2 linked regions of the Sus scrofa genome follow. The protein of the gene in region 1 interacts with the protein of each later gene in a biochemical or structural test. Links are inferred from orthologs where the notes say so. Each region holds a gene or a part of one and is shown in the gene's direction. Other genes may lie near its edges.

Region 1 (5,373 bases):
AGGTGAGTCAGGGGCAAAGAAGAAACGTACTCTGACTGGTTTAAAAAAGCCTGTGGAAGTGCTGGAGGCCAGCAGCTCTCTGCTTCTGAAGATGAAACATCTCAGGAGGAAACCGGGCCTAGGCTTCACAGGAACTGGGGAGGAGAGAGAGCTCCATCCTCGGAGGCTTTGAAAGGGACCCGTTGGATTGGACTGGTTTCCTCAAGGTCCTTCCCCACAGGCTGAGCAGCTAGGAATTCGGCGGTTTTCCTCCCCGTGCCCACTGTGGGTGGGGGGCAGCATGGCTTCCAGCTCAGTGTAGTCCGATTTTCATACCATTAATTTAAGACTACTCAGCATAGGAATTCCTGTCGTGGCTCAGTGGTTAACGAATCCCACTAGGAACCATAAGGTTGCAGGTTCAATCCCTGGCCTTGCTCAGTGGGTTAGGGATCCGGCGTTGCCGTGAGCTGTGGTGTAGGTCGCAGACACGGCTCAGATCCCGAGTTGCTGTGACTGTGGCCTAGGCCGGTGGCTACAGCTCCAACTGGACCCCTAGCCTGGGGACCTCCATATGCCACGGGAGCAACCCAAGAAATGGCAAAAAGACAAAAAAAAAAAAAAAGATTTCTCAGCACAGTTCAACTTGGTGAGACAGAAGCTTAAGCCTTTTAAATTTGCATGAAATAAATGCTTAAGTGTTTAAATAGAAGGCCTTGCTGATAACCAGAAACAAGTGCTCTGTGTGCAAACCATGGCACATGTGGCAGAGGGTGACTTCCCTCCACATTGCCCCTTGCACTGCGGACGCCAGAGTAGGCCCCAGTGGTACAGGGAGCAAAGTAGCGCTGGCCCTGGCCTGCTGTAGGTTCTGGACTTCCTTCCTTCATCAGCTCTCGAGGGCAAAGTGCAGGCCGAGGGCGGTGGCTGTTGGCTCCGGCCATTGCCCTTCAGGCAGGTGATTTGAGTGGCGCCAGTGCTGACACTGGGGTGGGCAAGGGGCCGTTCTTAGCTGCACACCTGTCCGTGTTTTAGCCCATCAGCATTAGCCTTGGAGAATCAGAGCATCAAGGGCTCAGATGTTACCTAAACCATTGCTGCCCTTTTGGCAGGACTAGACTAAAGCTACCTGCTCATAAAAAAAAAAAAAAAAAAAAAAAATCTGTTTTTTAAATACCTCCAAGAAGTGAGACAAGATGTGTGTGGGTCCTTCCGGAAGGTTGTTGGAGTAGAAAACCACAGCACGCCACCCTCACTGAGACTTTAAGCCTCGCCTAGCCGGCAGCCAGGCTGGGGCGTTTCAACTCTGGGGTGGTTAGAGCTCCCCCACCAGGGCACATGTGCTGGTCAGAGCAGCCTGCTCACGCCTGCAGCCCTCTGCCCAGGCCCTGGCCGCCGGACCCTGAGGTGCAGCCTGCAAAGCTGCCAGCAGGGCCACCAGCAGGGCCTGATGGGGTTGGCTCCTTCCTGTCGCACAGGCTTTGGTGGTCATGCAGGGTCCCAGGAGTCTGGAGCTTAGACCCCTGAGGTGACCCCTGCGATTCTGGTGCCACCCCCAGGCCAGGGGAGCCAGAGTGCTTCCCAGGAGGCCGGCCCCGCAGTGCAGGGAAGGCGGGCCTGGGTTTGTGCCCTCCCCCGTCTGCCCGGCCTCTTGGGATTCACCGCAGCCAGAAAACCCTTTAAGTAACCTCCTCCAACCCAGATGAGATGCCACACGTTGACCTCTGGGTCGGCTGACCCTGGTGGAGGCCTGGGCCCCTGCAGGAGGGAGAGATCCTTGCATGGCCGGGACTGCCTACGAGGCATCTGAGGTGTGGCTGGGCAGCCGTGGGTGGGATCCAGGGAGCTGACTGGGAGCCAGTGCTGACTCTACTGGAAGGTGGCGGCCACGTCTCGGGTGCGCCCCGAGGACCCAGCTGGGCAGCGTCACCCAGGAGGACCCAGACCTGCCATGTCAGGACTGCGTTGAACTTTCCGTCCAGGATCACGAGCCTACGTGAGGCGCAGAGTGAGCGCAGTGACTGAGCCCAGAGGCCGCTGATGCTTCTGTCTGCCCAGGCCACACTTATCCCCCCAGGAGAAGGGGTGCAGCTCCTTCTCAGCACAGGAAGTGCTCACACCTCTCGCCTCACTCACCTTTCCATCTGGCTGTCTCTGAAGCCTCGGCAGTCCCCTCGGAGGTCTGAAGCGGAAGGGAGCCGCCACCAAGAAGGAGCCACGGAAGAGGCGGAAGGTCGCTGAGCCCGAAGCGCCGTCTGAGGACCTGCTGGTGGCCATGGCTCTGTCTCGGTCCGAGATGGAGCGCGAGGCTGTGCCGGCGGCACTCAGACTGGGAAGCGCTTTTTCTGTGAAGATGAGACCGGGAGCAGGTAGGTACCCGCGGCCGAGAGCGGGGCCGGGGGAGCCTGCCCCCCCCCCCCCCCCCCCCCCCGGCAGCAGCTAGAAGTGCTGCTGGCGGGCTTGGTGGGGAGGACAGCTCCGTGTCGCCTGGTTATCTCTAGAGAAGAAGAGTCGCAAGAAGAAGGCGCCCGTCTCCCCACCGCGGTTGTTGCTCCAGGACGCGGAGACGGCGGGCAGGCAGCTGGAGGAGCGCGTGGCGCGACTCTTGGCGGAGGAGGAGGAGGCGGCCGAGTGCGCCAGCACGCCGCCACTTCCCGCCAGCCGACTCTTACGGAGGCTGGAAGAGGGCAGCGGCCGTCTGCGACCGCCCGGGAGAAGGCAGAACTTTCTGTGGGAGGGCAGCGCCCTGACCGGGGCCTGGGCTCTGGAATCCTTCTACACCGAGAGCCTGGTCCCCACCCTGGTGCCTCCGAGGCCCGCAGAGGTGCGCTCCCGCCTGGCACTCACTCGCTCGCCATCTGGGGGTGGGCTTGCCGGGGAAGGGTGGCGGCTTGGGGATGGAAACCTCAGGTTTCACTGGCGGGGGAAGAAGCGCGGTTGTCACCTAGCGTGTCCTCTGCAGCTAGACGGCTCCCCTGGTAAGAACAGGGAGGCCCGCTGGCTCCCCATGTATGTGCTCCTGGAGAGTCTGTTTAAAATGCAGAGGCCCAGGTCCTGCTCCCAGGGCTCGCACTGTCTACCTGCAGCGGGGCCTGGGCACCAGGCCGGCCTGACATGGGTGGTCCGGAATCAGTACTCACCTGCTCGAAGCAATTTTGACCACACAGGAGGGACCCTTCTGCAGACGTGGAGGCCACAGACATGTCCTCTGTCATGACAGGGGAGCCTGCTGATGGGTGGTAATGGTGAAAAGCTTCCCCAGCCTGCTCTGGGCTGAGGCTGGCACCCTTGGGCACACTCTCACGCTGGCGCTCTGACTTCTTTCAAAAGCTCGCACAGGAGCCCACGCTGCCCCCGGTGCTGCCTGATCCACCAGAGCCGGGCCCACGAACACCACCTGCTGTGCACAGTGCCCGCCCTGGGGGCCACAGCCCCAGCGACCCAGCACCCTCCGCCAGCCAGAGGGAGCACCAGGCCCTGCAGGACCTCCTGGACCTGGCAGGAGAGGGGCTGAGTGCCAGCCCGCAGCCCTGCAGTGGGGGCCCGGCTGGCACAGGAGGGGAAGCAGGTAAGACACTGGCCCTCTGGGCTCCCCTTCCTGGGATGGAGGCTGTAACAGGCCAGTCCTCCTGGTGCCGTGACAGCCGCTCAGACCCGACATCCCCGCTCATCCCCTGTGACAGGGAGAATGTAGGGTCTGTAGGTACTTCCATTTTCCCTCCAAGGTGAAGGTGATTAGGTGAGTCTGCAAAGGTCCTTCAGCTTTGACCCAGGACAGGGCCTTCCGCAGAGCGGGTGGGCTTGTGGGCTTGTTTCTGTCCCATGCACCTCTGGTGGGAGGGCTGGGGGTGTGCGGGCAGCTCGCCTGCGGTGCCCGCGGCCTTGGGTCAGTGGGCGATGTGATTTCCTGGTGGTTGATGTTGCCAGGAGGTGCTGTTCTTTTAAGCTGTGACTCCTTCTTTCAGGGATGGACTTGTCACCTGGCGGCCTTCCGCTGACTGGGTTTGTCCTGCCAGCCAAGGAGAAGCACGCAGAGAGGGGCGGCCAGGCTTCGGTAAGGGTGTCTGGTCCCCTGCCCTGCGGCCTTGGCTGCGGTGCTTGTCCCGTGTTCAGTGCGGCCAGCTCACTGCCAGCCTCTGGGCCCTCGCATGAGCCCACGGGTCCTCTTGATGGCCCTGGAGCTGAGCCAAGCGCATGCCCACGGGAGCCTCCTATTCCCGGGGCTCTGCCATGAGGCCTTTGTCCCTTTTGTCATTGAACTCTGGGGGCACGTTGGTACCCGGGCCCAGCAGCCTGCCCTGTCCTGGGGCCCAGGGGCGCACCCCTGCCCCGAGAGGGCACCTCCTGCAGCCGGTGGCCCCGCACGCTTGTCTCTGGATGCTCCGTTCCCTCGTTGAGGCCTTGAGGTGCCCTCCCGAGGGCGAGTCCTGCACGCCTCCGGCCAACCGCCCTGTTCTGTGTCATGGCGGAGGAGCAGAAGCTAGGTTCTCCCTCGAGTGGATGTCGTCCTGTTAGGCCATCACCATCAGCCACTCTTCTCACCAAGGTCTCCCTGGAGATGTGGCACCTGTCACGGAGGGGACAGGGAGCTTGAGGCCGGCCCCACGGCCGCATGGGCTCGGGTGCCGTGCGTTAGCATCAAGCTGGGCCGGTAGTCACCCTGCACACCGACTGGCACACGAAGCACTCAGCGGCCGCTAGTGCTGTCACCCCCTTCTGATGAGGTCGCCAGTGCCAGGCCTCTCCGCCGGCTGGGCCTCCCGTTTAGGCCAGGGAACTCGTCGTGATAGAGAATTTGAGAGGGAACAGGGTTGGCCGTTCTGAGGCTTAGCCTCTCAGAGGTGGAGCTGACGCCGGGCCTTGGGAGCAACTCGAGGGCTTGCCGCCCGCACACCCTCAGTTGGGCACCTGCACAGCTAGGCGGGCGGCACATGGAAGTGGTTCTCCTCTTGTTTCAGCTCTCCCTCGGTTTGCTGGTGGCTGACTTTGGTGCCATGGTGAACAACCCACACCTGAGCGACATCCAGTTTCAGACGGACAGCGGCGAGGTGCTTTATGCCCACAAGTTCGTGCTTTATGCCCGATGCCCACTTCTCATGCAGCACGTGAGTGCGTGGCCCGACTGCCCCTCCCTCCCCTCCTCCCCTCTCCCCGCTCCCGCTCTCCCTCTCTCCCCCTGCCCCTTCTCTGCCTGGCCTCTCCCGTCCTACCGCCCCCTCAGCTCCCCTGATCTCAGCCTCCCCCGCCCCCCACTGCTTCTTTCTCTGCTGCCATCCAGGCCATGCCTCCATGGAGACGACATGCAGCTCTATGCGCAGATGGACCTCAGAATTGGGAGACATCAGATTTCTTGTTCCGCTGAATAAAACTGTTTCCCCCCAGAGTTGTTTCCTT
Region 2 (6,064 bases), on another chromosome or scaffold:
ATGAGATAACGTAAGCCCAAAATCAGCATGACCCTTGGCATTTGGTAAGCATTCAACAACTGCAACTGCTGTAATTACTGTGCTCCAGACCATGGAGGGGTAGTCCTAGAAAAGAAAAAAAAAGAAAGAAAGGGGGCGGGGGCACAGAGCAACTCACATGGGCACCTGGGTGCCAGCGGAAGTGGCGCTGAGTCGCAAGGATGTTGCCAGCATGAACATAGTGACCTAGAAGAGAAGTCCATGAGAGCTCTAACTCTCAGCCCCCGTGATGAGGCAGCACAGCAAACTGCTAAAAAAAACATGACAGCCCTCACCTTCTCAGCCCAAATGCTGCACACCTCTAGGCCTGCCCATGGTAAGACTAACGCTCAGAACCTGACACAGGCAGCCCCCAGTCCCCCAGCCAGGAGCCTCCTCTGCAGTCGCATGGCTAAGGTTCCCACCTATCTGCTCTTCCTCGGGCCTCCCATCTTGCCTCAGGTCTCCTCTGCCTCTCATTTGGAGCCAAATGTTCTGGTGAGGGAAATGGAAACCAGGCTCTTGCCTGGTTTCCCACTCTTCAAAGGAATGTCAAGGCAGCAGGGCAGGGTGCTAAGGCGGATGCAGAAGCCAGGCCACAGGCTCACCCTCCATTTTCTTGATGCCAAAGCGTTTGCCTGGTGACTTTCCACCGAGGTTCTTGGAGCTGCCACCTGTCTTCTTGGATGCATATCTGACAGCAAGAGCTGCAGCCTGAGGGGGGCTCAGCAGGGCTGTAACTGCAGAGAGAACAAAATGTTTTTCAAACAGAGGCTCCCAATCAGACTCTCTTTCTCTGTCTCGATGGGCCATTTGCTAAACTGAGAGGTGGCAGGAGGTAGTGTCAGGGGAGGTGAGGAAGATACGTGAGCAGAAATGCCACTTGACGGTCTGGGTTTTCAGGGAGTGTTTGAAGTCCTTGGCCTTCTCCCATAACGGGGCACAAATCATTCCTTGTATTGTCCAGGGTGTAAGCACTACATGAATTGTGTGTGTGTGGCCTGGGGTGGGGGTTTGGGGAGTAAAATAGTAATGGAAAAAAAATAAACACCATCTGTCCTAGGTCCTGACACATTCATTCCTATTGAGGAGAAACAAATACCACAAAAACAGAAGCCAGCAAGAGGATACCAGAGGGCTGCCTGTTTCAGCTTCACTCACCATTATGTCCTCAAGCCTCCATGCACTGTGGAGGGGCCAGACCGCAGAGCCCAGCAAGAGGACACCCAGAGAGGAGGCTCCTGCTTTGACCTCATCCACCATTTTATTAGCCATCCACCCATCCACTGCACACCACGTACTTGTAAACAAAAAGGGCAGCCTCTCTGAGGATGGCTCCCACAGGCTCCTGTCCACTTCAGAAGGCCGGATCCTTTCTTTGCTCAGCAGCCCATCGAGCACAGGTCCAACAAAGAAGACTGACACTCTGACCTTGTTAACCTGACCTCCCCATTCATTCCAAAGAGCACAATGGCATTTATTTTTAAAAGGAAAGTGAACTAAAATTCATACTAACCAGGACAGAAGCCCAGTGCTATATGACAAGCCCAGGACTGGCGGTCCCTGCATTCAGGTCTCCAGATACAGCTACAGTTAAACAGGGCCATGCCAGAAAGTCTTTAGAGAAGGCTTGTGGGTCCCTGGAGCCTATAAGTTCAGAGTTCCTAAATCCCAGGTTTCTGAAGTTTTAATGAGAACAGAGACTACCTGAAGCAAAGGAACAGAGACAAGAACTTATGCAGGTATTTTCTTTTTGGTCGCAAGCACAACATGCGGCAGTTCCCTAGGCAGAGACTGCACCTAAGCCACAGCAGCAACAACGATGAATCCTTAACCTGCTGAGCCACAGAGAAACTCCTACAGCTATTTTATTTATATGCTCATTTACTGGCTTATCTACTAGAAAGAACAGTGCTGTGTGTGCAGACTATGTTTTCATCTTCTCTGTTGAAATTCTCAACACCTACCACAGTGTCTGGTACAAAGATAGACCTCAATCTGCTGAACGAACAGATTAACTTTTTGACCTCTAATATGCCAGCGGTAGTAACCCGTTTTTGCAGATGACGGGATCCAAATAAACCCATTTATTTACCCAAATAAATCGATGAACCGGCACCTACGGCTAAGGAAGCTTATTTGCACGCCAGCCAGTGGAAGGTCAGGAGCTACACGCCCTAGATGTCACGTGATCACCGACTACCGCCCCTCAAACCTCGTGGGCCCTGCACACACCTCCCGTCCCAAGGTCTTCCGCGAGATACAGCCTCCACCGCATCTCACCCTCTGGCTCCCAGTAAGGTCTCCACTCTGCCTCCACCCCTTGCTCCGCGACGACCACAGCGTCCGGTTACCTGCTGCCCGGGTCCTTAGCGCCAGCACCGCCAACGCCATGTTTGCAGTACACTTGCTTCCGGTCTCAGAAATCTGCTTCCGCTACGTGGAGATCTACTTCCGGGTCTTACGTGGCGGTTGAAAGAGTGGCGGGAGAGGTTGCTTGGTGAGTTTAGTCGGGCGGGCAGCCGGGTGGGCGGCCCGGTGGGGGCGGGGTAGGGAGCTACCTTCTGAGCGGTCGGGGCCTCTACTGATCTGGTGCAGGTGGAGAGAGGCTGGAGCGCGATCAGTAGGGGCCCGCTTGCAGGGCCCCACATTCTGCCAGAGGCCACCGAGGCCCCAGCGGGGATAGGGATAAGGTCCCTCCCTAGTCGTGAAACCTACTTTTCTGAGCACTCCTGCGTGCCAGATGCTGTTTGAAGTGCTGTAGATGTGTGACCTTTTTTTTTTTTTTTAACTTCTCACAACCTTGTAAAATTGGTCTTGTTGTTATCCCTATTTTACTAAAAAAAAAAAAGCAAGGCCCAGAGAGGTTACATAGCTCATCTGGGGTCACACCTACAGTGGTAGTGAATATTTGTTCAAAGAATGATTCTTGTGCACAATTCAGCAATTGCAATCCTAGATACAAGAGAATTGAAAACATGTTCCTACAAAAAACTAGGACATGAATGTTCATGGCAGCATTATTTATAATGCCCAAAAAGGGGACTCAAACAGAATGTTCACCAAGTGTGAATGGATTAACTCACACATAAGTAAGATGGCATGTTATTCAGCCATGAAATGATGATGACAACATACATATGCTACATTGTAAATGAACCTTGAAAACATTATGTTAAGTCGGTCACAGGAGTTCCCATCATGGTACAGCAGAAACAAATCTGACTAGGAACCTGAGGTTGCAGGTTCAATCCCTGGCCTCACTCAGTGGGTTAAGGATCTGGCGTTGCCGTGGCTATGGTGTAGGCCAGCAGCTGTAGCCCTGATTCGACCCCTAGTCTGGGAGCCTCCATGTGCCATAGGCTCCGCCCTAAAAAGACAAAAGACCAAAAAAAAAAAAAAAAAAAAAAAAAAGGAGCCAGTCACAAAAGATCATGTACTGTATGATTCCATTTATGTGAAATATCAGAATAGGCAGATCCATAGAAAGAGAAGTAGATTTATGGGTGGTGGTGTTGGCGGTGGGTGGGGAGATGGGGAATGGACTGACTGCTTCATGGCTATGGGATATCTGTTTGGGGTGATGAAAACGTTCTAAAATTAGTAGAGTTGGTTGTACCTCCTTGCAAATGTACTAAACACCACTGAACTGTGTACACTTTAAAAGGATAAATTTTATGGTATACAAATTATATCTCACTTAAAAAGGAATAACTTTGGTATCTCTTATTTTATTTAATTAATTTATTTATTTGTCTTTTTAGGGCTACACCCATGGCACATGGAAATTCCCACGCTAGGGGATGAATCAGAGCTGCAACTGCCAGCCTACGTCACAGCCACAGCAACACCAGATCCGAGCCACATCTGCAACCTACACCATAGGTCATGGCAATGCTGGATCCTTAACCCACTGAGCAAGTCCAGGGATCAAACCCACGTCCTCATGGATACTAGTCAGGTTCTTTACTGCTGAACCAGGACAGGACTCTTGGTATCTCCATTTTAAATGCAGAGATCAGTAAAGAGGTGGCGTTGAGTCTTGTTCCTAACCCCTTAACATTTTTTAATCTTAACTTCCACTTTGTTTATACCTCACCTTGACCTTGAAAGGCTTTGAGGAGGGTTCCTGTTAGACTACAGACATAGCTGTTCTGAGTTCCAGATTGTCCATGTTGGGGCCATGTCCTAATTCTCTCTCCATTTTTCTGTGTATCATATTTATTTCCATAAAGCTTGGCCATCAAACACACTGAGTGGACTGGAATCAGTACTACAGTCTGTGTTCCATCCCTCTTTTTCTTTTAGGGAATTAATATGCTGGCATATACTGATGGCTCTGAAGGCATCACTCTCACTGGATTCCAGTGACAGTGACTCTGAGGAGTTGCCAACATTTGCCTTTCTGAAGAAGGAGCTGTTTTCAACAAAGAGGAGGCAGCCTCAGAAGGAGGAGAAGGTGGTCGTGGTTGACATCTCAGATTCTGAGGCCTCCTGTCCCCCATCACCAAAACGGAAAGACCCATCACCTGTTCCAGAGACAGCTGAAACTCTCACACAAACAGAGCCAGTCAGGGTGCTAAGCAGTGAAAGTGAGGAGGAGGAGGAGGAATTTATTCCCCTGGCTGAGAGACTGACTTGTAAGTTTTTGACCCACAAGCATCTGAGTCCTGAGGACTCCAGCTCCCCAGTTAAAAATGTTTTGGATCATCAGAATAATGGAGCATCACGTGACTGGCAGAAACAGTCCTTTCCAAAGATCCAAGGTATTCCCCTCCATGACACCGCAGGGAGGTGTGCATCAAATAACAAGGACCCTGTGATAGACAGTCCATGCCATCAGCTTCCAGCCTCCCACGCTCCTTGCTCTGCCCAGAGCTACAGCTTGACAGGCACCAAAACAAGTGCTGAGGTACCCCCGCCTCAGAAGAGAACCAAGCACAAGCAGAAGGACGGGAAGAGAGGCTCACAGGGATGCCAGCAGCGTGGACAAACAAGCCAGAAGGAAAGCACGCAGAGGCAACAGGAAAGGAAGAAGAAGGCAGCCCTGGTTAACAGGCTGAGAGCTCAGAGGCCAGAGGAATGCTTAAAGCACATTGTGGTGCAGCTGGATCCAGGTCCTCCAGGCCTCTTTCTCTACCTTTTGTGGGGTGAACTGCTTTCTGGGCCCCACTGACAGCTTCTTTCCTGTCTGTTGCAGTGCTTTTACAGATGGAAGGTGGGGGCCAGCTGCTTAGCGCCCTGCAGTCCATGGAGTGCTGCTGTGTGATTGAGGTGCAGGCTGTGCCCCGCAGCATCACGTGGAGGAGAAAGGCTGGCCCCACTGAGGTAGGGGTTTTCTGGCTGCTGTCTCTCCTCCTCCTTAGAGTTACAGGATAAATATGCTTTTATTCTAAGGATATATATCAGTCAAGGCCCTGGCAGGAAAGCAGAGGGCACACTCAACCTAGGATATTTTGAGGAAGATTTAATAAAGGGACTGCTTTCCAAGGCATGGGCGGGGTGCAAGGAAACTACAAGCAGTGGTGCCGTACCTCGGGATAATAACAGCTTTAACTTGGTTTCTCCATCTCAGGTACCATAACCATTTCAGATTGGTCCATTCCTTGTTGTGCTAGGCTGTCCTGTGCATTATAGGATGTTTAGCAGTGTCCCCAGCATCTACTCACTAGATACCTTGAGTACCTGTTCCAGTCATGACAATCGAAATGTCTCCATGGAGTTCCTGTTGTGGCTCAGCGGTTAACGAACCCAGCTAGGATCCATGAGGATGCAGGTACGATCCCTGGCCTCGCTCAGTGGGTTAAGGATCCAGCGTTGCCGTGAGCTGTATAGGTTACAGGTGTGGCTCGGATCTGGCATTGATACAGCTGTGATGTAGGCCAGCAGCTGTAGCTCCAATTGGACCCCTACCCTGGGAACCTCCATCTGCCACTGGTGCCACCCTATAAAAACAACGACAACAAAATGTCTCCAGATATTGCCAGACATCAACTTGTGGGGGGAAAATTCCCTGTTTCTGTCACAGTTACCCTATAAGGATGGA

What was found. The genes of interacting proteins can lie anywhere in the genome.
Region 2: the proteins of SLX4 (region 1) and EME1 form a complex in vitro, tested with the Homo sapiens proteins (3 studies listed by BioGRID, with this or other methods). The link is inferred for Sus scrofa from reciprocal best matches to the Homo sapiens genes SLX4 and EME1.

Annotation. Positions count from the first base shown.
Region 1 is NC_010445.4:38,656,237-38,661,609, forward strand, and holds part of SLX4 (structure-specific endonuclease subunit SLX4), read left to right. Parts: coding exon 1-2; exon of another isoform or gene 3-2,139; coding exon 2,140-2,348; intron 2,349-2,480; coding exon 2,481-2,803; intron 2,804-3,119; exon of another isoform or gene 3,120-3,309; coding exon 3,310-3,547; intron 3,548-3,944; coding exon 3,945-4,033; intron 4,034-4,937; coding exon 4,938-5,084; intron 5,085-5,373. UniProt on the Homo sapiens protein: Regulatory subunit that interacts with and increases the activity of different structure-specific endonucleases.
Region 2 is NC_010454.4:26,667,700-26,673,763, forward strand, and holds the start of EME1 (crossover junction endonuclease EME1), read left to right. Parts: upstream 1-2,426; 5' UTR 2,427-2,518; intron 2,519-4,326; 5' UTR 4,327-4,351; coding exon 4,352-5,135; intron 5,136-5,218; coding exon 5,219-5,346; intron 5,347-6,064. Other genes in the region: MRPL27 (39S ribosomal protein L27, mitochondrial), read right to left, coding at 158-225, 627-758, 2,254-2,296. UniProt on the Homo sapiens protein: Non-catalytic subunit of the structure-specific, heterodimeric DNA endonuclease MUS81-EME1 which is involved in the maintenance of genome stability. In the complex, EME1 is required for DNA cleavage, participating in DNA recognition and bending.